2 linked regions of the Drosophila melanogaster genome follow. The protein of the gene in region 1 interacts with the protein of each later gene in a biochemical or structural test. Each region holds a gene or a part of one and is shown on either strand. Other genes may lie near its edges. The genes, in order: Sos and drk.

Region 1 (18,174 bases):
GCGTGTTGCCAAAAAAAAAAACGAGATCTTCACTCGGAATTTTCTATATACTGCAATTGTCTTGTTTTAAGCAAAGATCCCTTATCTTTTAAGGAATTTCGAACCATTTAGCTTTTATGACCAACTGAATCTATCTGACAGCAAACGTCATGTTTTCGAATCAGACATCTGGCGATAAGATATTGGCTAGATATAGTCGTCCAAAGACGTAGCCTAGCCTTACCCAATAAAATGGGCAAAACCATAAAAAAAAACAAGGCGTGAGTTGCTCCTTAATAAATAGCCAATTAGTCAGATAATTTAACACTTAGAAATCATTAGTCGTTCATGATTTGCGTTATCACAAAGGGTTTAGATTGCAGAGAATCGCTAAGAAAATAGCTTTCGTAGGGGATTACTGATTCGATTGCACAATACTCGCAATGCCCTTCACTTCGATTTCATGCCTCATAAGCTGAATCGCACAAACAGACTTGGTCATTCGTTACTCATGAATAATGGGCATTAATTAAAATGCAGGGAAGCGGGTTTTTGTGTTTTTACGGATCGGGGAGTTTCACACGAGCTGGGTCTCGTGATCTGGTAATGTGTATGGTGCTTCCCACTAACCAACCAGTCGCCGGCGGAGTCAACCGCCTCGACTGGCAAACTAGTTCTCCACCGACCACCAGCAACCAGCGATCGATTGTTTTTCGCCTTGTCTTTGCTGTTTTTGTTTTCGGAGCACCCGGTGCCCCTCACTCTGCGCCGCTTCGAAGGCTAGTCAAGTGCATGTTCTTCGTCTGGTGAGGACACATGCCGGACCGGTTTCAATGTCTTGGGCGTATACGTAATATCTTATGTGTGCGGTATGCATATAACACTAGCATGTAGAATGTATATCGAATGGGCTGCGTTAGCCAGCATATCAATTTAGAATTGAAAAAAAAACCACTACTTCAGTTTTTGACAATTTCAATTGATTTGCTTAACTGGTTGTGATTGCTCTGATTGATTCGATACTGATACCGATACTGATACTGTTACTCATTGCGATTCCGATTCTGATTTTGATTCTGATTTTCCGGCGCCGCCCTGGTAACTTTCCAGCGCAAGAAGAACCTTATCAGCATGCTGCTCCTCCAGAGTCGAGAATGCCCACATTAAACACGAGAAACTCTCTGCCATACATATTCGTATTTTTCGTGGAGATTGCACATGTGTATAGACCCATCCTTATCAAGACGCTCAGGTTGTGTCTAACCCCTGGGCACTGACAGAAGCGTCTGAATGTTGGTTGACACGCTTCCATCTAGAAACCACTGATTACAACTCGCGTGTTTACGTGAGAGGATCAATCAGATGTCCCACCTATCGTCTGATTCAATCGCCAGTTCTAGTTCGCAAAGCTATTCTTGGATCAATTGCATCGAAGCGAAACTTGCTTTATTTTATCATTTAGAAATCTCAACCCTTAACAACTTCTAGAATTTCTTACCAAAAAAAAAATACTACATGTCTATATCATTAATGTGTCATAGTCATAATGATCGATGGATTTATAATGTTCCACACCGATTTATTTCGCGTGACTTATCAGATTTTGCAGTTAGATAAAACTTACTTAAGGAATACGGAAAGGTTTCGTTCTAAAGTTTACTTTGAGTATATATTTTTCGATATGCCAGATATCAGTCCGATCGAAACCAGGCCCCTTCATTAATGGTCAATATTTATTGGCGGTTTGGAATAGCAAAAAATAGAACTGCGAAACGATTTCTCACGCAAGGAAAATCATCAGATTGATATTATTTTTGGCCAGCTATATAGATACTGTATCACCTGACTTGCCAGTCCAGCTATTTTATATAGCAAATAAAATTTGATAATTTATGCATTTGTGCATATATTGAAAAATATCTGGACATGCAAGAAAAAACAGCTCAATTAATTTTCAGACGTGCCTAAACATTTCATTAGGCCACAATGCATTTCAGTTAGCTAAACTTTTACGGCCATTCGAGTATTTCATTTGCGCTTTATTGTCACCATTTCCCACCACATGCAAACAAATAATTATTGGCGAAAATTTTAGCAGATGATTGAAGGGTTGCATGGTTTGGATTGGTGGTCGATAGCCAAATGTCGTGGCAGTCCAAGGGTAGAGACCATTTCTGGGGCTTCTTCAAGCCAAGCTGGGTGATAAATATAGCAGGGGTAGTTGCCTTTCAGCCCGGTCAATTGAGTGGCCATAAAAAACAGTATAACCCAGAGACAAGTGGCCCCCCTCCCCACGAACAGCAGTTATACAATATATCATCCGGTACTGACTCAGAACTCGGAACTTGGAATTCCGGGGTGCGGCTGGGGGCACTTTCCCCAAACGAGTTTTTTGTCCGTACTTCCTTGCGATCGCCGCCAGGAAAGTGGGGAAAAAACACGCGAGAAACTCATGCCTCCATCCAATTGGGATGATATTATCATGCAAGGCTCGCTTAGAAGCGCTCGGCTCGTAAATTCGTAAATGCTAATTGCCACATTTTATTTTGTCGTGTTTTTAAGCGTTTTTCTTCTTTTTTTTTGCACTGTCGTAACGAGAATTTCTTAATTTGTCTCTCCGGTTTTACATGCGCTTTTTATATTTTTAATTTTTTTTTTTATATTTCAAATTGCTGCTTTGTGTATTTAAATGTTCGGAGAAATCGAAATCACTATACTCAGGGGCAATTTTCGATGGATTTCGTAAGAACGATCATTATACATTATAGATTCTATATAGAGATCAAGATCTTAACGTTTCCGGAACAAGTTCTCCCAGACAGCTACGGGTTTTCGTTTTTCCGCCGGCGAATATACGCTATAAATGGATGTGGGTAATTCATTTGCAGTAATTCAATTAAAAAATCATTCGGATTTTATGGCAGCATTAATGGTCACAATTGTTTCAAAGCTTCGCTTTTGTTCCATGTCATCCGAATTGAAACGAAATTAAGTGCAAAACGATGATGAATTGTTTAATATACATATAACTTTGCAGTTAGTAAACGCGTATAACAAAGGCTCGTTTGATCAGCTTTAAGGGACCCATAATGTCAACCGGTTATATCCGATCGAGTTTTGTTTGAACAAGTGCGGCATTTCCTTGTTTTCGTTTACTTTCTTCTACTTTTTTTTTATTAAAGTCTGCCAATTGTTATCACAGGCACTGTGAAATGCCGCCAGGTGATCTTAAAGTATTTACAGCCAAAGTCGGCAGCAAACTCGCTGGGTAAATAAAGCCAGTAAGTAAGCCTATACATTTAAATGAGTCGCACTATATTTATTTCTACATATACATATATACAGTACCGACTTCGGAGATATCTTAATAACTCGATTGTTGATTATAAAAAGGTAATGTGCTAAATGCGGCAGTAAATTCGCACTTGGCTGCTAACTCACAAAAGGATCGTGCAACTCCAATTGCCTGCTTCTTTGTATGCTGCCCCACACGGCGTATACGTGACATTCATACGCCATGTGCTGCGTCAGTCACATGCACACACTTTTTGCACCCGAATGGTGAATAAGGCTCTTGATTTCAACTTTGATAAATGATAAATGCATTTCACCTGACTTTTGTTATTTACTATCAGCATTATGAAGGACTTTGAGAATCGGCGAAATAAATATAGGAAGCTACAAAGCTGTTGACACCTTAAGCTCGGCGATCTATCAAATGACAAACGAGGCTTTGCCCGTTCGATAAGAAAACCCCTGCCGATTTCTGGGTACCATTACCAACGGCAAATGGTTCAATATTTGCTCCGATTCAGGCAAACAATCATATATTATACATATTCTGATTCCAATTCCCATAAACTTTTGCGGTTTATCTGCAGCGATCCTATCACATGACTCGGGTCTGCGGTCTTCCGAGTGATTCTACTGGCACGTGACGCGGTTCTCTGTGTCAATGTTTGCGCCACCAGTAATTAAAAAGAAGAATCCACATACACGCACATAAATCGCAACAAAATGCAGCAAACAGGGGAACAGCAAATACTTGTATTGCCTCAGCCGGTTGGTCAGATAAAAGGTCTATGCAAATATTATTATGACTGCCAGTTGGGCAAACGATTGTCAACTCTGGCGACATGTTCATAAATAAGCATCTTACTTAATGCTTCGGTAATCGCGAGTATAAGCAGCCATAAAAATATTAAGTCTTTGATTCATTTTTATTCCCATTTATTAGCTTCAAAGTCCAGATTCTAGTTGAAATATATACAATCTTTCATGTTTTTATAATAGAAATAATTTGAATTTAACAGCAAATTGTAGGAATAAATGAATTTGAAATGATTTTCGCTGTCTTCTGAAATTACTAGTACCATATAATAGTCGCCCTAATTATCGAATTAATGGATTAAACGAAATTCTTCAATTCCTTCCACATTTATTAGCTTCTATTTTTTCGGACATTAATCAATTTCCTGACCAGCCTAATGAGTTTTTAATAAACCCCAATGGAGTACTCCAATGAATTGATTTTAGTTGATTTATTGTTCCTTATCGACACAGCGAATTAGCACTTAGTTAAGTTGGTAAATTCGGGGAAAGCAAATACCTAATGACTTTGCCGCACGTTTACTTACCCGCCCCATTCAATGTTCCTATTTCAGGACCTGCCCACTGGGCCAAGGAGTACCCACAGGCGTCGGGACATCGTCAGTCGCCCGTGGATATCACACCCTCCAGCGCCAAGAAGGGCAGCGAACTGAATGTAGCTCCGCTCAAGTGGAAGTATGTGCCGGAGCACACCAAAAGCCTGGTCAATCCTGGTAAGAAATTCAAAGTTAACGTACTGTATTCTACTGAAATATTAATCCTTACCATTTGTTAATCTAGGCTATTGCTGGCGCGTGGATGTGAACGGCGCCGACTCCGAGCTGACTGGAGGACCGCTGGGCGATCAGATCTTTAAGCTGGAGCAGTTCCACTGCCACTGGGGCTGCACGGACTCCAAGGGATCGGAGCACACCGTCGACGGCGTGTCCTATTCCGGCGAGCTGCATTTGGTTCACTGGAACACCACGAAGTACAAGTCGTTTGGCGAGGCGGCTGCCGCTCCCGACGGCCTGGCCGTGCTGGGTGTGTTCCTTAAGGCTGGCAATCACCATGCCGAACTGGACAAGGTGACCAGCCTGCTGCAGTTCGTGCTGCACAAGGGCGATCGCGTCACCCTCCCCCAGGGCTGTGATCCCGGCCAGCTGCTGCCCGATGTGCACACCTATTGGACCTATGAGGGTTCCCTGACCACTCCACCGTGCTCGGAGTCGGTCATCTGGATCGTGTTCAAGACGCCCATCGAAGTGTCCGACGACCAGCTGAACGCCATGCGCAATCTCAATGCCTACGACGTGAAGGAGGAGTGCCCCTGCAACGAGTTCAACGGCAAGGTCATCAACAACTTCCGTCCTCCGCTGCCGCTGGGCAAGCGTGAGCTGCGCGAGATCGGGGGCCACTAAGTCGGTGGATGTTGGACAACTAAGTCCTTGGATAGTCAACGGATTCGAGTGTCGTATGATTAGCTTTTCGCACCCACACATCACATCCGTACGCCACGAGCTGGACCGGCACATCTCCATTGTTCAATTCTCGTCTTTAGTTCGTACGCCCAGCAAGAGCATACCTCCTATATGTGCATCCGTATCCGTATTCGCATCAGTGGATGCTTAGCTGTAACCTTAATTGTACATGTACGCCTGTTCGTTTGTTTGTCTGTTAAACGTTTGCAAAATGACAATTAGATTTATGTTATTATGGTATTATAAACTAAATATAACACGCTTAGATGTTGCATATGATAACCTAACTGACTTTCAATTCTGTGGAAATAGTTACTTTAAAGGGAAGCTATAATCCGAAGTTATTTCATCTCTGATAAGGACATTTTCAGCAACTACACATTTTCAAGAAAGCAATTGAAGGAGCTTAGACCAGAAGTTCCACTTCATCCCAACTTTAGCAATAAAATACTTGCTTGGTCTGCATCTTATCCTCGTTTCACTGGCACGAAGTGTCATTTATTTGACATTGGATTAAAGTCTAGCAACTCGTGTGGTTTTTTGGTCCATTGGAGAAAGTATTTCTCTTTGATTTCCCGCCAGGCAAACTGGTAATCTCTGGCCAAGTCTTTACAGGAAGCATAGGCGATACGCTCAGGATCGGAAAGCTGTTGATCGAACATTTCACTTAGCTTCGGATTGAACTTTACCAACTCTAGAAATGTAAGGAACAGCTTGTACTTGCTGATCGCCAGTGCAGCTTGTGAAGTTTTCATCTTTTTCTTAGTTACTCCTTGACGCTTTCCATTTACGGAAATTTCATAGGGCCTGCGTGTTAGGAATATATGTTTAGATCTGAAACTGTCTAGCTAAAAGGACCCTTACCTTAATTCTTCTGGGACCTGGGACCAAATCAGGCCATTGGGGGATGGCTGCCAGTCGGAGCGTTGGGAAAATTCAAATCTTATGCCAGGATCAATGTTTATCTGTGGCCTTTGAGGCTGGAAGCGCGTGTGCTTAAATGTCCTACAATCGAAACGTTTAAAGATGGCACGTTCCAAAGATTCCAGCTGCGCATCGTCACAGCAAAAGTTCAGGCTGCTAAAGTAGATGGGTTTGGAGATCAATACATCCAGTAGTGCCCCCTGCACGCCTATGACATTCCATCGCGCTATCTTATCACTGCAGGACATGGATAGAGTGCGCTCTCCACGTCCGGGCTTCGTTCGCAGAGCTCCTGGCGTCTGCAACATTGGATCATCGCTAAGGTCACTTATTAGTTTGGCACCCGTATAGACCATCTCGGAATCCTCATCCAGCCGCTGGCGTTTGGCCCGCGCCGCTGGTTGCTCTTCCTCAAGGATGCAGGCATCCCCACAAGGCGTTTGTGTGCTCAGAAAGTGGAACTCCACGTGCTCATCCATGTCGTACGTACTTAGCGTGCTGTTCCAATGAAAGATTCTATCCTGCTTGAGCTCCTGGTATAGAAAGCGAAGAAATCCACGACGTGCCAGCACCTCGGCATGGGAATCATTCAGGATGAGGCCATTGGGACAAAGTTTGGATTCTCCAATGCACTTTGTTCCGCATCCAAGCGAAACTAGTTGACATGCTTCCGTGTTCCGGTTGAACTCCACGATTCCCGCCAAAATTGTCCATTGATTGGCTGTGGGCTTTCCTGTTTTTGGCAAGGACTCGAATTTTTTTAAACAAAGTTCCGCAATTTCCTTAACAGTCGGTTTTTTGTTATCACACATTTTTGTTTATATTCGCAAATGTGCGAACCGATAAGTTCGGTAATCGAATAGCAATATCGATTGGCGTGTTGCATTGTTTACCTTTTGCTTGCACACTCTGGTCTCACTGTTTATTTATTTACTTGCGGTGTTTAATGAAATAGGAAATTACTTTAATTTTATAAGTTTCATAAGTCCGAAACCCACAAATAACCATGCCCAAAGTAGTGTCGCGCAGTATCGTCTGCTCCGATACCAAGGATCAGGAGGAGTACAACGAGGAAAAGCCGCTAAACATTTACTACTGTCTGTGCAACAAGATGGCTCTGATTCTGGGTAAGATTACTGGAGCCAACTAACTGAAAGCATAGTACATCATGTTTGCCTATCCTACAGATTGCACCCTCGAACAGTTGCCGCTACGAGAGGTGGACAACGCCCGTGTGATAAACGCCAACGACCATGCCAACAAACTCACCCACAATCCCACACCGAGGATGGTCTACATCAAACGCAAGAGCAGGGGCAATGGGATCGAGAAGCAGTACCGCTACAAGGTGAGTAGCTGACTTCCACTCCTTACCCGTCATTAGTTCACCTAATGTTTTCCTTTAACCTTCAGTGCCGAAGCTGCAGTCTGCCGCTTTACTATCGCCACAGTCCCGACTCCCACGTAACCTTCGTCATGTCCAATGCCCTAATCCGCAACAAGGGTGAGAGTCCTCTCACACAGCTGCTGAATTCGGAGATCAAGGGCAGTTTCAAGGCACCGGCTGCCAAGCCAGCGACTTCCGCCGGTCCAGACGATTCGGGTATTGTGGATGCCAGTGGCAAGAAGGTCGTCGTCACCAGACACACGAAGAACATGGGCAAGTTCAGCTCGGTCACGGTGTCTACCATCGACGAGGAGGAGGATGAAATCGAGGCGGTAAGTTTGTCAGCTAAAGTTGGTTTGTAAATGGTGCAGGAAATCCAATCTATCATTGCATCATCTACGAACAAACCTACAACTCTTTCAAACTAACCATTTTTTTTGTTCATTCAAACAGCGCGAGATCGCAGACAGCTATGCGAACAACGCAAGGATTATCGAGAAGCAACTGCAGCGCAAAGGCGGAAAATTGAGCGATGTGGGCATCAAAACCAAGACAGAGGACGCACCTCCGCCGCAGAAGAAGCAGCGCGGCACGCTACTGGAAAGATAGTCACACTCTGCCTCCTTATTACCCACAACTAAATATATTTGACGACACAAATGGCTGGCATTCTTGGAAGAAAAATTGCAATTTATCTAGTTATAGCATACGCAAATAGTTTGACCTTCTATGCTGTCGTTTTGGCAGCAAACTGGGATGCTGTGCCAGTAGCTTCTTCAGTCGCTGCTCGGCGTGCTGGTGATTGAGAATCGAGTCCTTGACAAGCCCACAACTGGGACATAGATTGTACTCCGACTTTGACTTTTTGACGATCGCTGGACGCACGCGAGTCTCCATGATCAGCTTCATTCGATTCGTGGTACGCGGCGAGTTGTGCAGAGCAGTGAGTGGACGGCACTTACTTCTTGGCGAGGATTCGGTCCGTTCCAAAGCAGCCTTCTCCTTGCTCCTGACCAGCTCGAGTGCACGATTCGCTCGGGCTTTGGCCAGCTGCAATTCGAGAGGCGCCTTTGGCAGGTTAAAAAAGAAGTGGGTCCACTTATCGCGCAACTGTTCGATGGCCTCCGAGTTGAATAGTGAGCTGGAACGATTGGAGGTATGGGGTCCCCATTCCGCGTTCCCGATGCAACTCAATCTATAAGCGGACATTGAAACCTGAAGTATTATACACTGAAAATTTGACAACAAAGTAAAAGTGTACATATATGTGTATATGTATACTATATACCGTATAGTTATGGTTTTTGGATGGATTGTTTTTCAAATATATAATTATACGAGGGTATAGAAGCTTCGACTTCTGGAAGCTAGCTCCCTAACTGTTTTTGGTTTTTGTATTCTGTTGCATTGCATTGCTTTCATATGTTTAATTGTTTCAACTGAACACATTGTACTTGTTTTCGATTTAGAAGCGTTGAAAGCGGATGTATCTTACATTATCCAAGTAAAATAAGGGATGAGTCGATATGTATGTTGCATATCTCCTTACGATTTTAGATAAGGAAAGACATTTTATAAATATAAATATAAATTTCTTGAAATATAAACATTGAAGAGATAATTAAATTCATTTTTTTTGGGTAAATTATAATATATTTTAAACCTGCTCGTTGCAATTTAAATTCAAAATGCTTCTTCTTCTGCTAAAAAAGCCATTCAACACGAATGCTCTCTACATTGGATTTTTTAGTACATTCTTAAGCATCGAATCAGGGCTGGTCGCGAGCATTTACTGGATTTAGGCAGTGCCGCACTCTGGTCACACCGCGAAAAATATTATATTGAGTTGAAGATTATATTATACATATATATATCGAAGATACATATTCTGAAAACAAGTGCTGAAGCCCAAGCGATTTGCAAACGAAACGGACGCGCGAGCCCCGTTCAAGATTCGAAACGAGTTCAGTGCGTGCGCTTGAGTGTGTGTGACTGCCATGCGACGTTCGCCCGGGTGATCCGGCTGTGCCAGGTGCCCCACGGTTCCAGGTTTCCAGTTTCCAGGTTCCGCTCCACTCCACTCGTCGCTGGATTCAGTGCACAACACAGCGGGCGGGGAGGCGGAGGGCAGGCGGCCAACGAAGGTGCTCCACGGCAGGCTCTCGTCGGCTACTCCACGGCGCACAGAATGTTCTCGGGGCCCAGCGGCCATGCCCACACCATTAGCTACGGGGGCGGGATCGGTCTGGGCACTGGAGGCGGCGGCGGCAGCGGTGGTAGTGGTAGTGGCTCACAGGGCGGAGGCGGTGGTATTGGCATTGGCGGCGGTGGCGTGGCTGGGCTGCAGGATTGCGATGGCTATGACTTCACCAAGTGCGAGAATGCTGCGAGATGGAGGGGCTTGTTTACGCCATCGCTAAAGAAGGTGCTGGAGCAAGTGCATCCACGGGTTACCGCCAAGGAGGACGCACTGCTGTATGTGGAGAAACTCTGTCTGCGGCTTCTGGCCATGCTGTGCGCCAAGCCGCTGCCCCATTCCGTGCAGGATGTGGAGGAGAAGGTGAACAAGTCCTTTCCAGCGCCCATCGATCAGTGGGCCCTGAACGAGGCCAAGGAGGTGATCAACTCGAAGAAACGCAAGTCTGTCCTGCCCACGGAAAAGGTGCACACGCTGCTCCAGAAGGATGTGTTGCAGTACAAGATCGATAGCTCCGTGTCCGCCTTCCTGGTGGCCGTGCTCGAGTACATCTCAGCGGACATACTCAAAATGGCCGGCGACTATGTGATCAAGATCGCCCACTGCGAGATCACCAAGGAGGACATCGAGGTGGTGATGAACGCCGATCGTGTGCTAATGGACATGCTCAACCAGAGCGAAGCCCACATCCTGCCCAGTCCCCTGTCACTTCCCGCGCAGCGTGCAAGTGCCACCTACGAGGAGACGGTCAAGGAGCTGATCCACGACGAGAAGCAGTACCAACGCGACCTGCACATGATCATACGCGTCTTTCGTGAGGAGCTGGTGAAGATCGTGTCCGATCCGCGCGAGCTGGAACCGATATTCTCCAACATAATGGACATTTACGAGGTGACGGTCACTCTGCTCGGCTCCCTGGAGGACGTCATCGAGATGTCCCAGGAGCAGAGTGCCCCCTGCGTCGGTAGCTGCTTTGAGGAACTGGCCGAGGCCGAGGAGTTCGATGTGTACAAGAAGTACGCCTACGACGTTACCTCGCAGGCCTCACGGGATGCTCTCAACAATCTCCTGTCTAAGCCAGGGGTAAGTATTGATACCTTCTGTGCGAAGAATTCTACTAAAATCCCTGCTTTTAGGCCTCATCTCTGACCACAGCCGGCCATGGCTTCCGCGATGCGGTCAAATACTATTTGCCCAAGCTGCTTCTGGTGCCCATTTGCCATGCCTTCGTGTATTTCGACTACATCAAGCATCTCAAGGATCTCAGCTCTTCGCAGGACGACATCGAGAGCTTCGAACAGGTACAGGGACTGTTGCATCCACTCCACTGCGATCTCGAAAAGGTAATGGCCAGCCTGTCCAAGGAGCGACAAGTTCCGGTTAGCGGTCGAGTGCGCCGCCAGCTGGCAATCGAGCGGACACGGGAGCTCCAAATGAAGGTGGAGCACTGGGAGGACAAGGACGTGGGCCAGAATTGCAATGAATTTATTCGCGGTAAGTGCTGGCAACGAAAGTTACTTGCATCCTCCAACTAAAATGGTATTTCAAATTTACAGAGGATTCGCTGAGCAAACTTGGATCGGGAAAACGAATCTGGAGCGAGCGCAAGGTATTCCTCTTCGACGGGCTAATGGTGCTATGCAAGGCAAACACCAAGAAACAAACACCATCGGCAGGAGCAACGGCCTACGACTACCGACTGAAGGAGAAGTATTTCATGCGACGCGTGGATATCAACGATCGACCGGACAGCGATGATCTGAAGAACAGTTTTGAGTTGGCACCCCGGATGCAGCCGCCCATTGTGCTGACCGCCAAGAATGCACAGCACAAGCACGACTGGATGGCAGACCTGCTGATGGTTATCACCAAGTCGATGCTGGACCGGCACTTGGACAGCATATTGCAAGACATCGAGCGAAAGCATCCGCTGCGGATGCCCAGTCCGGAGATTTACAAGTTCGCGGTGCCGGACAGCGGTGACAATATCGTGTTGGAGGAGCGCGAAAGCGCAGGAGTGCCGATGATCAAGGGAGCGACGCTTTGCAAGCTAATCGAGCGCCTCACCTATCACATCTACGCCGATCCGACTTTTGTGCGCACCTTCCTCACCACATATCGCTACTTCTGCTCGCCGCAGCAATTGCTGCAACTGCTGGTGGAACGCTTTAACATACCGGATCCCAGCCTGGTCTATCAAGACACGGGCACAGCAGGTGCGGGTGGAATGGGCGGCGTTGGCGGTGACAAGGAGCACAAGAACTCGCATCGCGAGGACTGGAAACGATATCGCAAGGAGTACGTGCAGCCAGTGCAGTTTCGAGTGCTCAACGTACTGCGCCATTGGGTCGACCATCATTTTTACGATTTCGAGAAGGATCCCATGTTGCTGGAGAAGCTGCTGAACTTTCTGGAGCACGTGAATGGCAAATCGATGCGCAAGTGGGTGGATTCCGTGCTTAAGATTGTTCAGAGAAAGGTGAGTAGTTGGTCAACAGCATAATGTGGAAGTATCGTTATCATTTTTCAAATATTATTTACAGAACGAGCAGGAGAAAAGCAATAAAAAGATTGTATACGCCTATGGCCACGATCCGCCGCCCATTGAGCATCACCTTAGTGTACCCAACGACGAGATAACGCTCCTCACCCTGCACCCACTGGAACTGGCCCGTCAGCTCACTCTACTGGAATTCGAGATGTACAAGAATGTAAAGCCGTCTGAGTTGGTCGGATCACCCTGGACGAAAAAGGACAAGGAGGTGAAGAGCCCTAATCTACTGAAGATAATGAAGCACACCACGAACGTCACCCGCTGGATTGAAAAATCCATCACCGAAGCGGAGAACTACGAGGAACGCCTGGCTATTATGCAACGCGCAATCGAAGTGATGATGGTGATGCTGGAATTGAACAATTTTAATGGAATCCTCTCGATTGTCGCGGCTATGGGCACGGCATCTGTTTATCGACTGCGGTGGACATTCCAGGGATTGCCCGAACGCTACAGAAAATTCTTGGAGGAATGCCGCGAGCTCAGCGACGATCATCTCAAAAAGTATCAGGAGCGATTGCGATCCATCAATCCGCCTTGTGTGCCATTTTTCGGTCGCTACTTGACCAACATACTCCACTTGGAGGAGGGTAACCCCGACCTGCTAGCCAACACAGAGCTAATTAACTTTTCCAAACGACGGAAAGTGGCCGAGATTATTGGCGAGATTCAACAGTACCAGAACCAGCCATACTGCCTCAACGAGGAGTCCACAATACGACAGTTCTTCGAGCAACTGGATCCGTTTAACGGACTGTCCGACAAACAGATGTCCGACTATCTCTATAACGAAAGCCTGCGCATTGAGCCAAGGGGCTGCAAGACAGTGCCGAAATTCGTAAGTATAATGCTTCAAAGTTTACAAGTCATATAGGAAATTTAACCATTTTCCTTTCGTAGCCTCGAAAATGGCCGCACATTCCGCTCAAATCGCCGGGCATCAAGCCGCGTCGCCAGAATCAGACCAACAGCAGTAGCAAGCTGTCGAACAGCACGTCGTCCGTGGCGGCGGCAGCGGCAGCATCGTCAACGGCCACCTCAATAGCTACGGCATCGGCGCCATCTTTGCACGCCTCCAGCATAATGGATGCGCCAACAGCAGCAGCAGCTAATGCTGGATCTGGAACTCTCGCTGGCGAGCAAAGTCCGCAGCACAATCCGCACGCTTTCTCCGTTTTCGCCCCTGTTATTATACCCGAACGGAACACCAGCAGCTGGAGTGGAACGCCACAGCACACTCGAACGGACCAGAACAACGGGGAGGTTTCGGTGCCGGCGCCACATCTCCCCAAGAAACCGGGCGCGCATGTCTGGGCTAACAACAACTCGACACTGGCCAGTGCGTCGGCAATGGATGTTGTGTTCAGTCCAGCGCTGCCGGAGCATCTGCCACCGCAGTCCCTGCCGGACAGCAATCCATTCGCATCGGACACGGAAGCTCCACCGTCGCCGCTGCCCAAGCTAGTGGTCAGTCCGCGTCACGAAACCGGCAATCGATCACCATTCCATGGGCGCATGCAGAACAGCCCAACGCATAGCACTGCCAGTACCGTGACCCTTACAGGCATGTCTACATCGGGCGGGGAGGAATTCTGCGCGGGTGGATTCTACTTTAACAGTGCCCATCAGGGACAGCCGGGGGCAGTGCCCATCTCGCCGCATGTCAACGTTCCGATGGCCACCAATATGGAGTACCGAGCAGTGCCGCCTCCACTGCCACCCAGACGCAAGGAGCGCACTGAGAGCTGTGCGGACATGGCGCAAAAGCGTCAGGCGCCAGACGCACCCACAGTAAGTAGCCTCACTTACTTCTAATTTGTAGTAGCAGATGACAGCAATCATTTTACGTATCCTTGCAGTTACCCCCGCGTGATGGCGAACTCAGTCCGCCGCCGATACCGCCACGGCTCAACCATTCCACGGGCATCAGCTACTTGCGACAAAGCCACGGCAAGAGCAAGGAGTTTGTGGGCAACAGCAGTCTGCTCCTGCCCAACACCAGCAGTATTATGATACGCCGCAACTCGGCGATCGAGAAGCGGGCAGCGGCAACTAGCCAGCCAAACCAGGCGGCGGCGGGACCCATCAGCACGACACTAGTGACCGTGTCGCAGGCAGTGGCGACGGACGAACCGCTGCCGCTACCGATCTCGCCAGCGGCAAGCTCCTCGACGACCACATCACCGCTGACACCCGCCATGTCGCCCATGTCTCCCAACATTCCCAGCCATCCGGTGGAGAGCACGTCGAGCAGCTATGCCCACCAACTGCGAATGCGGCAGCAGCAGCAGCAGCAGACGCATCCAGCGATCTACTCGCAGCACCATCAACATCATGCCACCCATCTGCCGCACCATCCGCACCAGCACCATTCGAATCCGACGCAGTCGCGCTCGTCCCCCAAGGAGTTCTTTCCGATTGCCACGAGCCTCGAGGGCACACCCAAACTTCCACCAAAACCTAGTCTAAGCGCTAACTTCTATAACAATCCAGGTGAGTGCTACCAACTCGGCCCGTGATAACGTGTTTCCTAACCCAACCATCCTATCCGTTTGCAGATAAAGGTACGATGTTTCTTTACCCAAGTACAAACGAAGAATAATTTAAATTGCCTGGCGATGTGATAAGGACGAAAACTACGAGTATGATCCGTAAGATTCAAAGTTGCGAGCACTGCTTGAGTGCAGATATATATATGAGAGAACGGAACGTGAGATATATATATATATATATACATATATACGTAGGCGCAGTTTATGTATTCTAGTATGAAACGAGTTGGAACCGCTGATTTAGATTATTCGCCACTCATTTAACAAGGTAGAACAGACAGACAGACAAAATACGCTCTCATTTACACACAACAGGCACGCGCATATGGATAGGAATGCAGGACACACAAACCAAGCAAGCAACCAAGCAACCAACAAGAAATGCAAACAAGAAATTATGTTATTATATAATTACTATTATAAATATTTGTAAATATCGAGAACATTGTATTGATCGTAGAACGTAAAACAATAAAGTATAACCCTATTGTTAGACACTTGGCGACATCTTTCGATGACCAGAAATATAGAGTATTGTAGCCAAAGTCAAGGCAATCTGAGCAAATAGCATAGATTATCAAGGCTTTTCCAACGTTTAAAGATCGTGGGTATTCTTTATGTGCCCAGTGGCCTTGATGAAGTCGACGTGAACCGACATCCGACTGCAACACACCTGACATTCTCGCAGTGTCCAGCATAATCGCAGCCATTATTAAGATTGTGTATATGGCTAATTAGTTTCGGTGGGTTAGGAAAAACTAGAGCGATTGTTGTCTCACTGCATTAGGTGCAATTAAATTGGACACACACATTCGCTTATTGGAAACAACGCGGATTGACTTTCGCTTTTCTAAAACGTCATGAACGTCGAGCACAAATGCTTCCTGAAATTTTGGGCTGCTCGCCGCTGGGAACCGGTTGTTGTTTTTTTGAATTATTTTCGTATATTTGTATATTCGTATTTTCACGCTCGTGTCCAGCCCCTTATCGTCAGTTATTTGGGGGAGTTATGTGTGTGCAGCAGCCACCGTCCCCAAAAAGCGATGTGTCACCTGATGGCGCAGCGATTTGGATCCTCGGTGAAGTACCAGCGGTTACCAGGGTGAATAAACCGAAAGGAATTCCTGGGAAAGACAGACCATCTTTCATGTCCAATTGTGTCCTATGAACACATCTCAATACATCATAGCAGACACTCGGGGAATTTCCGTTGTTGAATTGTGGGGGGTGGTGGTGGGGTGCACCTTTATTTATAGAGCACCATGCACTCCATACCCTATAGACAAGGCCATCGGACGAGCACGATCATATCTATTCGCCATTAGATTTCGCTTTCCCTGCAACACTTGACCAAGATATCGGGAAGCCAGACGACGACCTACACCAACTGGCAATCTATGTATGTAAGTATGTATGTGCCAGTCTGCCATCTTCTCACACAATTAGCAATTGGCCAAAGAATGGAATTATTCAATGCATTTGCATTTAATGCATACTTGATTGCGGCTAATGAGAGAGAAACGCCACGGCAAATTGCTAGAGAAGATTAGACCTTTGGCGCATAATCAGCGCGCCGTAATTGCTCGTAAATAATTGTGTTACATGAGCATATCAATTAGTCAGCCAATTAACCAACAGCCAGCCAAAATTGGGATTCTGCGATTCTGGGATGAGTGGACCAGGGAAATCCCGGTGCTCTGAGTGCTCTGCATTGCGCAGGAACGAGGTGCTTTCCATGCTAACAGCCGCATAACCAGAATCCACGAGTCAAGCCAGGTGAGATCGGCACCTGCGTCGGCTCTCGAGCGGCAGTGCCTTTATGTAATAAGCGCCACTCGGTTTCGGATTCGGATTCGGATTCTGAGTTGTGGAAGTCGTCGAGCTTTTATAAAAGCGGCAACAACATCGCCTGTTCACTCAGTTCACACGGAATCACTGTCAAGTGCAATCTGCAGCAGTAGCAGCACCAGCACCAGGAACAGTACCATCTAGTACATCGGAAATCTAGAGCGCTAGCCAAGACATTTACAGTATAAACCGCAGACGAGAGCCAATAAAATGCTGGCCAGCGAGAACTTTCCCACACATCACTTCAAGGAATCTATATTTAAGCCGTACAGTACGACGAGTGGCGATGATTTGGCAAGCGTTAGCCCATTGACAGCGACGGCAGCGTTGGTGGCGTCCACGTCGTCACCGGCTGATTCCACCTCCACAGTTGCATTCGAGCAGGCCAGCAAAATGTTGGCCAACGCCGCCAACAATAATAATAATAATAATAACAACATCACGAGCACCAAGGATGATCTATCCAGCTTTGTGGCCAGCCATCCGGCGGCAGAGTTCGAGGGCTTCATCCGCGCTTGCGTCGACGAGATCATCAAGCTGGCCGTCTTCCAGGGCACCAATCGCTCCTCGAAGGTCGTCGAGTGGCACGAGCCAGCTGAGCTGCGACAGCTCTTTGACTTCCAGCTGCGGGAGCAGGGCGAATCGCAGGACAAGCTGCGCGAGCTGCTGCGGGAAACGATTCGATTCTCCGTGAAGACAGGACATCCGTACTTCATCAATCAGTTGTACTCGGGTGTGGATCCATACGCGCTGGTAGGTCAATGGCTCACCGATGCCCTCAATCCCAGCGTGTACACGTACGAGGTGGCTCCACTCTTTACGCTGATGGAGGAGCAGGTGTTGGCCGAGATGCGACGCATTGTGGGCTTCCCCAATGGCGGCCAGGGTGATGGCATCTTCTGTCCCGGCGGCTCGATAGCCAACGGTTATGCAATCAGCTGCGCCCGCTACAGACACTCGCCCGAGTCCAAGGTGAGTGCCCCATTGCAGCCAAGTGGTTTACCGCCAATCCACGCGGAAGTCGGCATCCACTGATTGGCGAGTGATCGTTAGTCATGCCCGTGATATACATATAAAAGTGAAACTAAAAGTTCTTAGCGATTTAATCAGATAAATAAACTATAAAGATGTGTGTTTCAAGATTAAAAGGCACATATTTAGGT
Region 2 (11,464 bases), on another chromosome or scaffold:
AATGTTTCATTTGTGTATTCGCTTGTTAGTTAATATCTAAACCTTGTCAATTGCCTGCTTTATTGTTACGATTAGAATTTATGTTTAAATATGCGGCTACTACTGGTTCTGGGCCGGGAAATGCTCGCCAACGCCTGCAAATATGCTCAAAAAGTACAAAACTGTCGTGCGTCCAGCTGCTGGCCAATATAAATTGCGGCTTATGTAAACTATGGCCTATCAAAAGTTATTTTTGATGTGTTGTTTCCATGAGGCATCGTCGTCGTGTTTCTTAGTTTGGTGGATATTAGGAAAATGTATAAATGTATTTGCTTCGATATATAATATTTATATATAGATAAAAAAATAGGCTTAAAATGTTTCGTTTTAGCATTTTGTTGTTGTTTAAATTACTTTATATTGGCAACTCTCATTACATTTGTTAATGCATATAGTTATGTAGTTGAAAAACGCTCGAACGTGCAACTATTTCGCTTTGCTGATGACAAAAATGGTTACACACAGCACACTCAACCAATTATATAAATAGTAGTAGTAATAATTTATAGCACAATATGATATAGCAGCAGTTTGAAACTTTTTACACATGTCACAAATGTTTTCTTCCCGTTTGCAAGATTCATTTTTCGTTCATGGAGTTTTTGTGGTCAGAAGACAGAGTGCAAATTATAATTACTGACAATTTTCAACTTTAAAGCGAAGGGACAAAATTTCACATAATCAATTTACAGTCGCCGCAAAAGTTGCATGTGCAGCCGAGGCCTAATATCGTTCAATTTGCATTAAGAAGATACATATTTATTTATAGATGCGTGCATGTATGCATATAGTAACCAGCGATGCAAAAATTAATTTAATTTATGTGGTAGGCATTTACGATAATATAATATAAATTTTGTTTTAATTGTCTTCAGCTTTGAGACATTTAGGCAAAAGTTTTCTTTTCATAGTGAATTTGTTTTGTTTTCTATAAAACGTGTTAAGCATTAGGTTGGTTGGTTGGTAATTCGTTATCATATAATCATAATAATATAAGTGTTCACTCGCTGCGAAACGCACTCCTTGAAAACATCAAAACATAAACTAAAGAGCACATGTAGGGCAAAATCCTCAACACACGTTCAAAAGCACAGGACAGAACTTCTCTTTATCGAACTTAAATTATATATTTATATCAAAAATCCGCTTGTTTACAATAATAATAATAGTGCCTGGTCTGGTATGTAGACATACTTGCATATGCCTATAGTTGCGGTCAAGATTGTAGCAAGTGAGTTTCGTCCTCTGTGCGGAAGGATTGCAAAGGAAAACTCCGATCAAATGCCTTTTTCTTCGGCCGCAGCTATAAATACACAAATAAATTTACATATCTAGTTTAAAGTGTCACTCAGTTGCTATTAAACGATTTCGTAATGTTATCGTAATGTAATTGTTTTATCAAAAAACGTCAAAACGTAAAAAATGCATTCGGCTTAAAGGCTTAAACTTGTGTTGTTCTATACGTTGTCTACAGAATTTATGTCCACGTTTCTTGTATATAAATATTTAAAATTTGTGTTTTTTAGTTTCTTCTTGTTGTTATTCGCAATTGCTGATAATGCTGCCTAATCGTTATGGGTGTGTGTTGTGTTTTTCGCGTTTCCCGGAGAGGATTGTGTGTGGCGTCCCTCCTTAGAAGTTATCTTATTATGAATGATATGGCGTCACATAAGTTGCTGGGAAGATGCCTTTCCTATTGCCGATCTCGCCGTTCCACCAGTTCTCATCGGAGCGATCTGTGACGGTGATGACATCGCCGCGTCTGAAGTCCAATTCCCCGGATTCCTGTGGCACAAAATCGTACAGCGCCTGCACGAGCATCTGCAATAAAAAAAATCGTTCGGACATAATGAATCCAATCTAATACTCTTGGCATCGCTGTTTGTTTATAGTTCAAATGGGTGGGCGGTGGCGGCGGCATCGTACGCAAACATGACCTCAATGTGTTATGCGAAATTTGTATTTTTAAAATGAATCTGCATGTTTGCTGAGCAAACTCATCACATCAAAATGGAATGGAATGGACGGCACACCCACCTCTTCAGGTATCATATCACGCAATTTGACATCCTGCGACCGGGACACGCTCGCCGTCCGATGATATTCGACCAGTTCGTTGAGGGAGTTGAACTTGACCACCCAGAGGAAGAATTTGCTTTGGGCATCGCGCAGAACCTTGAAATGCTGAACGCCATCGGGGCATCTGAAGGGGCAAAGAATTTCGATTATATACGGTTTTCAATCATAAATATGAAAGCTGAAGCCATTCAAGCGCAACTCACTTGACTGATAAGGAGAAATCGCCGGGACTGGATTCGCTGATGCGTATCAAGAAGGCGCCTTCGTGCTTATTTGACAGCAGCTTCTCAGCATCGGCGCGTGTGATGCGTCCGTAATACCAGCTACAATAGAAATGATCATTATTTGGGTCTCGATATTGGAAATTTCAGGCTCGACTTACTCGTGATTCTTCATTTCTATGTAATTACTAGGTATGAGGCCTTCCTTTCCATCCAGCTCCGCGCGATACCAATTTGAATCGTCTTCCATATTTAATATCTGTGTAAAAAGAAGGGATGTAAGTTAATTTAAGCAATACAAATCAATGGGTTTGTAAATGTAATGAACCATATTTTTGATTAAATAACTAATAAAGAAAGCTTGATTTGTGGAAAAAAGGATCTTAATGGGCATAAAATTACCTAAATCTTCTACCCCTGCCTAATAAAACAATCATATATTCAGCTTCATGAGGCTGAGTTAAATGTTAAATATGTTCTTTGGTTTTTCCATGAAGTTATTAAAACCGGAGCATCTGATTTTAATTCCCATTTCTCACGAAACCAAAGTACCAGCTGCACAGTGAGTAATCCGATCCCCGAAAATTTGTTGTAAGAACCTGCCTCCGTTGTTTCCATTTTGAGGGCCACTCCCCTTTAATCCCAACCCCCCCAGACAATGGCGATCAATCGAGACATTCTTCCGCTTTGTTTATTGGCGACTGGCCCGATTCCCCAGTGGATTCGATGAACAGTTTTCAATTGTTTGTTGATTGAGCGTTGTCCCAAAAAACTGTGTCAGTGCGCAATCAGCGAAGATAGGCTTATGGTTTGGTATGAAACGTACATATTTATCTATTATCTCCACTATTCTCATATCTTTTTTTTCTTGCGAAACGCTAAAAATAGGCAAGCATTATGGCCGCGACATGTGATAAGAATGTTAAGTGAAACGGAGCACTCACTCGAATGGACGAATTTCACTTTTGTCTATCTAATGAACTTTTTCCTAGCCCATTTCGCATGCCAATGACACAACAACAGGCTGCTGCCTACGTAATCATCGACTACTTTTATGATATCTTACGATTGACAGCCGAAATTGAAGATTGTCTATCTGCAAAGGTCTCGCCATTTGCTTGGCCACTGGGAATTCCCAGATTCGAAGGTGCTGAGTTGAGCTTTTATGAATGAATCTCGTCGCTTATGACGGCGCCCAGCAGCCTTCAGTTTTCGGAATCTGTTTGCTTTTCTCAAGGAAATCGGTTGCACAAATACCCAGGAAATGTGTTTATTGTGCAAAGGTCAGGATTTCGACTTTTAGTTAAGTCTTAAGTAAAGCATATTCCTATCTTTATGGATTTCTGCCATTTTTCCCTTGAGCAGTTCAGTGTTTATTTGGTAGCTTTGTTGTTTTCCAATATAGCTTGTTCGTCAAGTCGGAATAATGGAATGGCATTCAAATGAGTCACCCACAAAAAAAACCCCTGTTGATACTGTGTAGTTGAGGGTTGGTTACTTTTCTGAAGTTGCAACTTGTAATTACCCCATGAATGTCTCATCGTTAATTATACACGCTACTAACATACGAGGTTAATAACAAACATAATACCTTAACCCACAGATCGATTTCTTGTTAATTAAAGATACAAATATATATATATAAATATGAGATATATCATATTCGATTCGTATAATGATGTTTCGAGTTTTTTGGTTACATTTTCGCACGTCGGAATGTGGAGGGGATTTGGGTGATGTGGAGCTGGAGGTGGATGGGGTGTCAATGTCGTTTCCAGCTTATGTAAAACCCAATTATTGTGCTCACTGTTGGCTGTGGCAGTGGGATTTTGCCCGCTCAGCTGGATCTGGCCGACTAATTGGCATAGCTCCATAGTTCTAATCCACCCCGCGATCACCGACCATCCCGCCCGCATCTGTCACCCAGACATTGTTCATCGTATATTTATTTTATTTTTAGATTGTTTCATTCATTGAAAACAGCCGCCGAGAAATTCATTTCCACGGATTCGTCGTCTATTACAGAAAGTTTTCTCGCCGCTCAGCACTGGGAAAAACCAGAGGGTTTAGAAATAATATAAACTTAAATATGCTGAAATGCTTCAAGAACATAAACTTTCCAAGTATTCCATGATCGCATATTTATTTTCCCAACTGCATAAGGAAGTGCACCATTTTTTTTTCAGTGCAGGCAATGTGCAATGTGCCTGTTGGATAATGCATAAATATTTAGCGGCGCTTTCGGAAGGCAGGCACGTAGTGGCCATGATTGTTATTATCAATTGTTTATACTCGTATGCTTATGTAATTACTAGAGAAAAAATTCTATTGTCGTTTCGGAAATCCGACGCTGAAAAAAGTGTCAAAGCAACACGAACGTTCACTTTTCGCTGTTTTCGCGACAAGCGAAAGTTGAGCACAGAATCCCATTTCGTGTGTTTCACATTGTTATGATAAAACGTGGCCACTTTTGGTGCCCACACAACAAGGCCGTTAGAATTGGAGGCATTTTTTTTTTTGGAAAATGGAGCTCCAAATATCCAAGAAATACGCTGACCTGTAAACCAGTTTTCTGGAAAGAGAACGAACCCCAATGAAATGTTTGATGATTCACAGCGCTCCTCTCTCTATCGCCTTCTATGCCTGCTGTATGTTTGCTGGATTGGGGCATCTTTTCAGATAAGGCTATCGAGAAGTGACTAATCGCTGGCAAACAAACAAATGCGCTGGGAGTTCGAACAGATATGCGTAACATACATATCTCCAATGCGAGATAATCGTGTATTTCTATTTATCCCCCGCATCAATGGAGCCCAGAACTATGGGCTATTAAACGAACTATGACTATCAGTGCGGATTGTTTACCCATTGATAAGACCGTGCAGCTGGACAGAGGGCTCATCTACGGCGTAGAAGCCCCTCTAATGGACGGGAGCAGCGCACACACTTGACCTTCGGGCGGCGATAAAGAAGCCTCTTCGGCGAGTCATTGACACCATCAATCAGCAGCAGCGGCAGCAGCAGCAACAAATGCTGCAAATGCAGCGGCGGCATATGGAAAAGAGGCGCAAAAAAAAGAGGCACAAAAAGGGAGAAAACCTGCCACGGGCCTGGGTTCCTGCTGTGACTAACCTACGACAAGGTAGACACACAGCAACGAAAATCAGCTTACATCGCGCCCTGGCAACAAGAAACCGGAAAATTCGCCAGCCAAAACAAAGGGTTTGGCCTAGGACAGCCAGCCAGCCAGCCATCGAGCCAGTGAGCCAACACAAACACAAACACCTGGAAGGAAGCAAGGCGGCGAAAAAGATCGAATCGCAGCCTGCCAGCAGCCTTTTTCTTGGCCAGAAAAGCCAGCGAATACAAGCAACACGGGTAAGCATCGGATGTCCCCCACAAAGTTCCGCAAAGTCAAAGGGGGCATCGAATATATCATCACTACAAACTGTTGGAATTGTTTTTCTAAGCATTCGGAAGAAAACGAATAAGGAAAGTTGAAATAGTATATATACTATAGGAATGCTAACAATAAATAAGTTCATTCAAGGAAACACAGTGAAAAATGCTAGATTTGCAAAGTATAGTATATAGATTAAATCATATATGCATGTTTATAGCTTTAGAAACCCCCTCCTCACATCATTTTTTAAACTTACTTTGTAATGCTAATCACAACTATATGCAGATTAAATGGGGTCAAAAATATGGTCTTGATAGATTTGAAGTGCAGTTGAGAAATGAAAAAATGTAGAGTAGAATGTACAATATTTCAGTATGTGATGCTTCACAAGGATTTTGTACTGATAGTGGAATATATTTGACTGAATCTTTTCGTTCTAGTAAGAGTATTCGGGCTGCGGTGGCTAATGAGTCGTAATCCTTTCGTGTTGCCTTCTGCGAATGCACCTTTTGAAACTCTTTAGCCAGCTTTTGCGACTGCTGTCTGTTTGGTCGCGATTTAGTAACAAAATCTGTCTGGGGATTGAACCTAGGATGTGGGTTAAGGCAACGACCTGGACGGCGGCAGCTGCATCGCAGCGGATTATGCATGCAGGACCTGCCACGTCCCCCTGTGCACCCCCTTACACCCTTGCGTGCCCCCATTCAGTGTGAAGTCTATGAATAAATGCAGATATTATGATTTGAGGTGGGAATTGATGATTTTGGAACAGCACTCACCTTTAGAATCTGAGTTTTGCGAAAACTCAGCTCGTCGTCAGCCGTCGCAGAGAAATCGTGTTTGGCAATCGCTTCCATTTTGCTGTGTTGTTTTGTGCGCAGTTAGAAAACGCTTTCGGAGTTTGTTTTAAAATTTAGTTGCAATTGTAGTTTTGGATTTAGTTCTATCAGCCTTGATGCACCACACACACGCACACACAGAGGCACAGACACACACGCTCGTTCTCTGCTCTTTCTCTCTAACTCTCTTTGAATTTCTCTCTCACTCACTACTCAGTGCTGTGGAAATGAAAACGAAACGAGACGAATCCGCGATTAGTTAGCGCACATTATATAAACGATAAATCATGGATATTCGGCAGTGCGCTTTTCTCAGTTCGGTTAATAATAATATATCTTGTGCGAAGGCAAGGGAAGAAAGCGATTAAAAATACACCGACGACGACGACATTCCCAGGCGGAGCAGCAACAGAGAATGAACACAGACACGAGCCGCTCTCTCCACGGCGGCCACTGTGTGGGTGTGTGTGCGTGAGCGTGGCAGCGTTGCCAGCAGCTTGCGATTTGGAATTTCGGGGAAAAGCAGGTACCGCAAAAGCAATTAGACGATGTTTGGCTATTACTTGTTGTTATGCGAAGTAATTTGCCTTAAATAATATGAAATGTGTCGCTTAGAACACAATTAACATTTGGCAATCTAGGGCGTGGGTGCTTGCTGTTGGCAATGCTGCCGCGGTGACGTTGTTGTTTGTTTTATTTTTTGTAACCCCAATAAACACACACACACACACACACGCGGCGCTTATATTTCTATATGCGTAAGTTGCGGCTAACTATTTTCGAGTCTCTGGCACGTGCAAAGAGGCCGCCGGGCTTACAATTTCAAAGGGCTAGGGTGGCTGCAAGCTTAAGCGACACTAATTAGGCGCGGGAGCGGTTTGGCTAACATATTACTACTGCTAAATTTGTAATTCACTTTTATTTTCATAGCAGCGTGACCGTGGCCGGGTCGCTTTATTATTCCAAGAAAATATACTGAACACAACACTGTGGGAGAGGCATACCGCAGGGCTTTCGTAGTTTTCCTTCACCTGGTCACACCGCAAGACGCTTCGCCATTTTAAAAATCAAAACAGGAGACGCTTCGCCGGAAAAGTCAGCATTACGTTTCATTCCCAACCGGACACTTCAGTTTGACTCGCCCATCCGTCACAGCAGTCGCCATGCAGCGCCACAAGGAACTGTACAAGGAGCAATCGCTGGTGCTGAGTCCGCGCAATCACTGCCAGGAGAACAGGGATCGGTTGCAGGCGGCGCGCGCCAAAAAACGAGAGGATTGTTTTTATCAGAACCGCATCATCAGCGTGAGCCCGACGCCCGTCAAAATAAAGCAATTGGCGGCGGCCCAAGCTGCTCTGACCCAGGAAAATGTGGCACCCAAACTGGAGAGTCCGGAGCGGCTGGACACGAAGCCCGCAGAACTGCTGAAGGAATCCAACCCGAAGGTCTCCCGCCAGAAGCTCTACTTACAACGCTACATGGAGTGGAAGATAGCCAAGACCAAGGAGCATAAGCAGCAAGACCAGAAACGTCGAGGCGCAGCCATCAATGTGCCGACAGTAAAACAATCAAAGGCCTTGCCCAAATCACAAACATTTCGGGTTCCCGATAATCTGGCTTCTGCAAAGCAGAAGGAGGCGGCTCCCATGTTCCAGCCTCCCAAGCGGTGTTCTCTCTACATGATTGCCAATCCGACGGGCAAGGGAAAAGCCGCAGAACCGATTAAACCTTCAATACCCAAGCCAACGTCAGCAGCAGCTCCTCCGTCATCCAATACCGTGGCTGCATCTTCCGCCTTGGCCAGGCATAAATCAGCTGCTTCTGCAACAAAAATAGTGCCTGCAATTCGTCAGAACAACAATCCAGTGGCCTTGGCCAGGCAAAAAGCAGCTGCACGACCCATTCCCAACACAACGAAGCAAACTACCAGTGTAAGGCAGCCTGGGATTGAAGCGAAAAAGATCACTACCACCATACCCAGACCCACCCCAGCGACAGTCACGAAAGCGAAAACGCCAGGCATACGACAACAGCCACCAGTGGTCAGCACAAAGCCAAGATTACCTGAGCCGCCAGCGCCACGGACAGCTAGACTGCCCAATGTGTTGTCCAAGCCGTTCGAGAAACCTTTAGGAAACAAGGCACCAGTGACACGACGGGCGAATGTCGTGAAACCACAGCCTATACGTGGCGGAGGTGGTGCCGCGGCCAAGTTCAAGGACACAGCTGGAGCGACCAGCAAGGCAGCAAGTCACTCCATACGAATGAAGGCCACCAAGATAAAGAGCCAGTACACGAGGCTTCAGGACAACGTGCGAAAGCTTCCTCAGCTCAAAGCCGAGTTGCTGCACGCAGCCACGCTAGATATACCGCCTCTCACGCCGCTAGACGATATCCATAATCCCTTTATCGACCAGGCCACATCAACGCAGTGCAAGTCGAACAATAGCAGCGGTCATCTTTTGGAGGCGTTTGGCGACACCATCTTGTTGAGCCCGGTGGCACCGGTCAAAGCTGAAGGAGAAAGTTCGGTGAAAAGGCAGTTGCTGCCGGAAGGTAAGAAAGAGGCGTCAGGTCCGGTGGCAAAGAAAAAGTTCGACTTTACGCGTTACTCAGTGGCGAATTCGCCGGCGGAGGACTCGCTCATCTTGGATCCTCAGCAGACGACGGGTGAGTTTGGGATACGCCTTCTCCAATCTTAAACTCAAACTCACATTTTCCTTTCAGTTAAAGAAGACACTGGAGATTCCACTTTGGTGCCAGAGGGTACAAAGACACCGCCACGTCGCGAATCCAATGGAATGCCCAACTATCTCAGTCCGTTTGTTAGTGTCTCGCGGGGAAAGGTGAACTCGCGCTGTGAGAAGGAGAAACGCAATAGCTTCTACCTGTCCAATGAGGAATCGCCCTTGGAAGTTCGCCGTGCCATTGAATCGGTTCTGTACTTCCGACTGCAGCTGGAAAACGAGATCACGCGCCTCCAAGCGCTTTGCGCTGAATGGGAGGCGTACAGCAAGGAGAATGAGGCACGGCTGCAGGAAACGGGCGGCATTGACATGATCAACGTGACCATCGGTCAAACACGTCTGCTGACCACAAAAAAGATGATGCAGTTCAGCGGCCTGATCGATCGTTGCGAGGCTGGAGCGACCGGCAAGAACAGTCAGCCAAACGATGGCAGTGAGGATTCGAAACCGGTGCAGGCTGAGGATCTGGAGGGCTGGTGGGACATGCTGCGCCTGCAGAGCGAGAACGTGGACAAGCGTTTCGATAACCTGAAACGTTGGAAGGCCAACGACTGGCTGGATCCGGATGCCGTGGCCGAGGAACCCAAACAGCCGAAGCCCAAGCCCAAGATAAGTCGCAACATGAAGATCAAATCGAAGGCCAAGCCGAGCAGCAATCTGCAGCAGTTCCTCCGCAAAGCCCATGCCAACATGAAGAAGACCAAGGTGGAGGAGCCAACGCTGGAGGATGGCCTGCCCGCCACGTCCTCGCGCCACAGTTCGCCGCGAGTAATCGTAGTTCGCAACCGCCGATCCTTTTCGCCCGCCCGCACAGTACTCCGCATGTCCACCGGCGAGGGCCGTCAGTCGATTGCGCCAAATGCGCTCCTGAAATCAGCGATTCTTGCGGCCGCCGAGCAGAACGCTGCCAAGACGCCGCCGCCTAAGCCGCGCACCTCCATCCTCAAGACGCCCGGCACCACGAAACGCCAGAACCGTGGCGTGCTCTTCAGCGCCAAGAAGAGCGTACGACGATTCCAGTTCACCTACGAGGAGGGAAACATTAGCAACGACGAGACAGTGGGCGCCGACAAGTTGGAGGACTGCGAGGAGGACATGTCGCTGGAAGCCTCCACGGAAAGCGGATCCCTGGAACAGAATCCGGGAAGGGATTCCAATCAGGAGAATGAAGCAACTCCTCGCACGTACACGCTGCGCAATCGGCGGGTGAATCTGCGTCCCTCCTCCGAGTTTATGTAGTTTTGTCTATTGACAGTAATTGTCCGTTGTGGAATTGTTTATACTTTTATCTTCTTAGTTTAATATTTTTTTGCGGATGCCATTAAGTGTTAATTTATTAAGATGTTGAAAATTACATTTGGCGTTTTAAATGTTCGACGAGTATGTTCTGTGAAAATGAAAGCTTATTTTATTTTTAATTATCTATCTTACCTTGATTATAATTTAGACATAGTTAAAGGAATAAAAAAGAGAAGAATAAATAAATTTGAAATGCTTTTCTTATTGAAAGGGGATCGAAATTTAAAATTAACAATTTAATATCACAACACAGAAATTTGATTACGCGACTCAACTAGTAAAACTTGAATTTTGGAGTTCCAGAAAATTAATATTAAAATATTTGCATTTTTCAAGTTGTCTAAATAAATTTTAAGAATTTAGTTTTGGTATGAGTCTTTGCTAACATATTACCCAAGTCATTCACCTTCATGGCTCCGTATAATTTTGAAGTATTTTCCAGTATTTCCTAAGGAAATTTCAGTATATCTGCGTGTGTATGGCGGTATAATTTAACGGTAGCGACACGGTCTCACCCTGATTCATAAAAGTAAAGGAAGACCACTCGACGGCAATTTAAATTGAATTTTGAATTTTGCTGTTGCACTCGATTGTAAATACTCGTTGATAAGGCCGCCAAATGAAAGTGCACATAGCTGTGATATCGCGACGCGCATCTCACCGCAGTGACTAACCGCCTCGCGACCGTTTCGTTCGCCCGCGACGCCCTTTGAGTTCAACGCATTCACATTTCCCAGTGTGCAGATTTTCTTTTTGTTTTGTCCGCAGTCACCGCGCACTGCATTCAAAACAGCGCCCAACACACAATACGCGAACCACAGCGGCACAGCATACACA

What was found.
Region 2: the proteins of Sos (region 1) and drk interact in a test that uses a peptide from one of them, tested with the Drosophila melanogaster proteins (2 studies listed by BioGRID, with this or other methods).

Annotation. Positions count from the first base shown.
Region 1 is NT_033779.5:13,804,166-13,822,339, forward strand, and holds Sos (Son of sevenless), read left to right. Parts: upstream 1-9,650; 5' UTR 9,651-10,048; coding exon 10,049-11,140; intron 11,141-11,193; coding exon 11,194-11,551; intron 11,552-11,613; coding exon 11,614-12,536; intron 12,537-12,600; coding exon 12,601-13,449; intron 13,450-13,511; coding exon 13,512-14,402; intron 14,403-14,470; coding exon 14,471-15,104; intron 15,105-15,169; coding exon 15,170-15,213; 3' UTR 15,214-15,659; downstream 15,660-18,174. Other genes in the region: CAH1 (carbonic anhydrase 1), read left to right, coding at 4,644-4,802, 4,870-5,489; Adat1 (adenosine deaminase, tRNA-specific 1), read right to left, coding at 6,044-6,356, 6,414-7,285; CG16865 (uncharacterized protein), read left to right, coding at 7,480-7,600, 7,661-7,821, 7,887-8,192, 8,314-8,469; CG16888 (uncharacterized protein), read right to left, coding at 8,560-9,069; b (black), read left to right, coding at 17,222-17,983. UniProt on the Drosophila melanogaster protein: Promotes the exchange of Ras-bound GDP by GTP. Functions in signaling pathways initiated by the sevenless and epidermal growth factor receptor tyrosine kinases; implies a role for the ras pathway in neuronal development.
Region 2 is NT_033778.4:13,495,292-13,506,755, forward strand, and holds the start of drk (downstream of receptor kinase), read right to left. Parts: upstream 7,551-11,464; 5' UTR 7,400-7,550; exon of another isoform or gene 6,634-7,399; 5' UTR 6,600-6,633; coding exon 6,522-6,599; exon of another isoform or gene 6,183-6,521; intron 5,718-6,182; exon of another isoform or gene 5,330-5,717; intron 2,599-5,329; coding exon 2,501-2,598; intron 2,442-2,500; coding exon 2,322-2,441; intron 2,243-2,321; coding exon 2,077-2,242; intron 1,861-2,076; coding exon 1,687-1,860; 3' UTR 1-1,686. Other genes in the region: mars, read left to right, coding at 7,745-9,251, 9,309-10,567.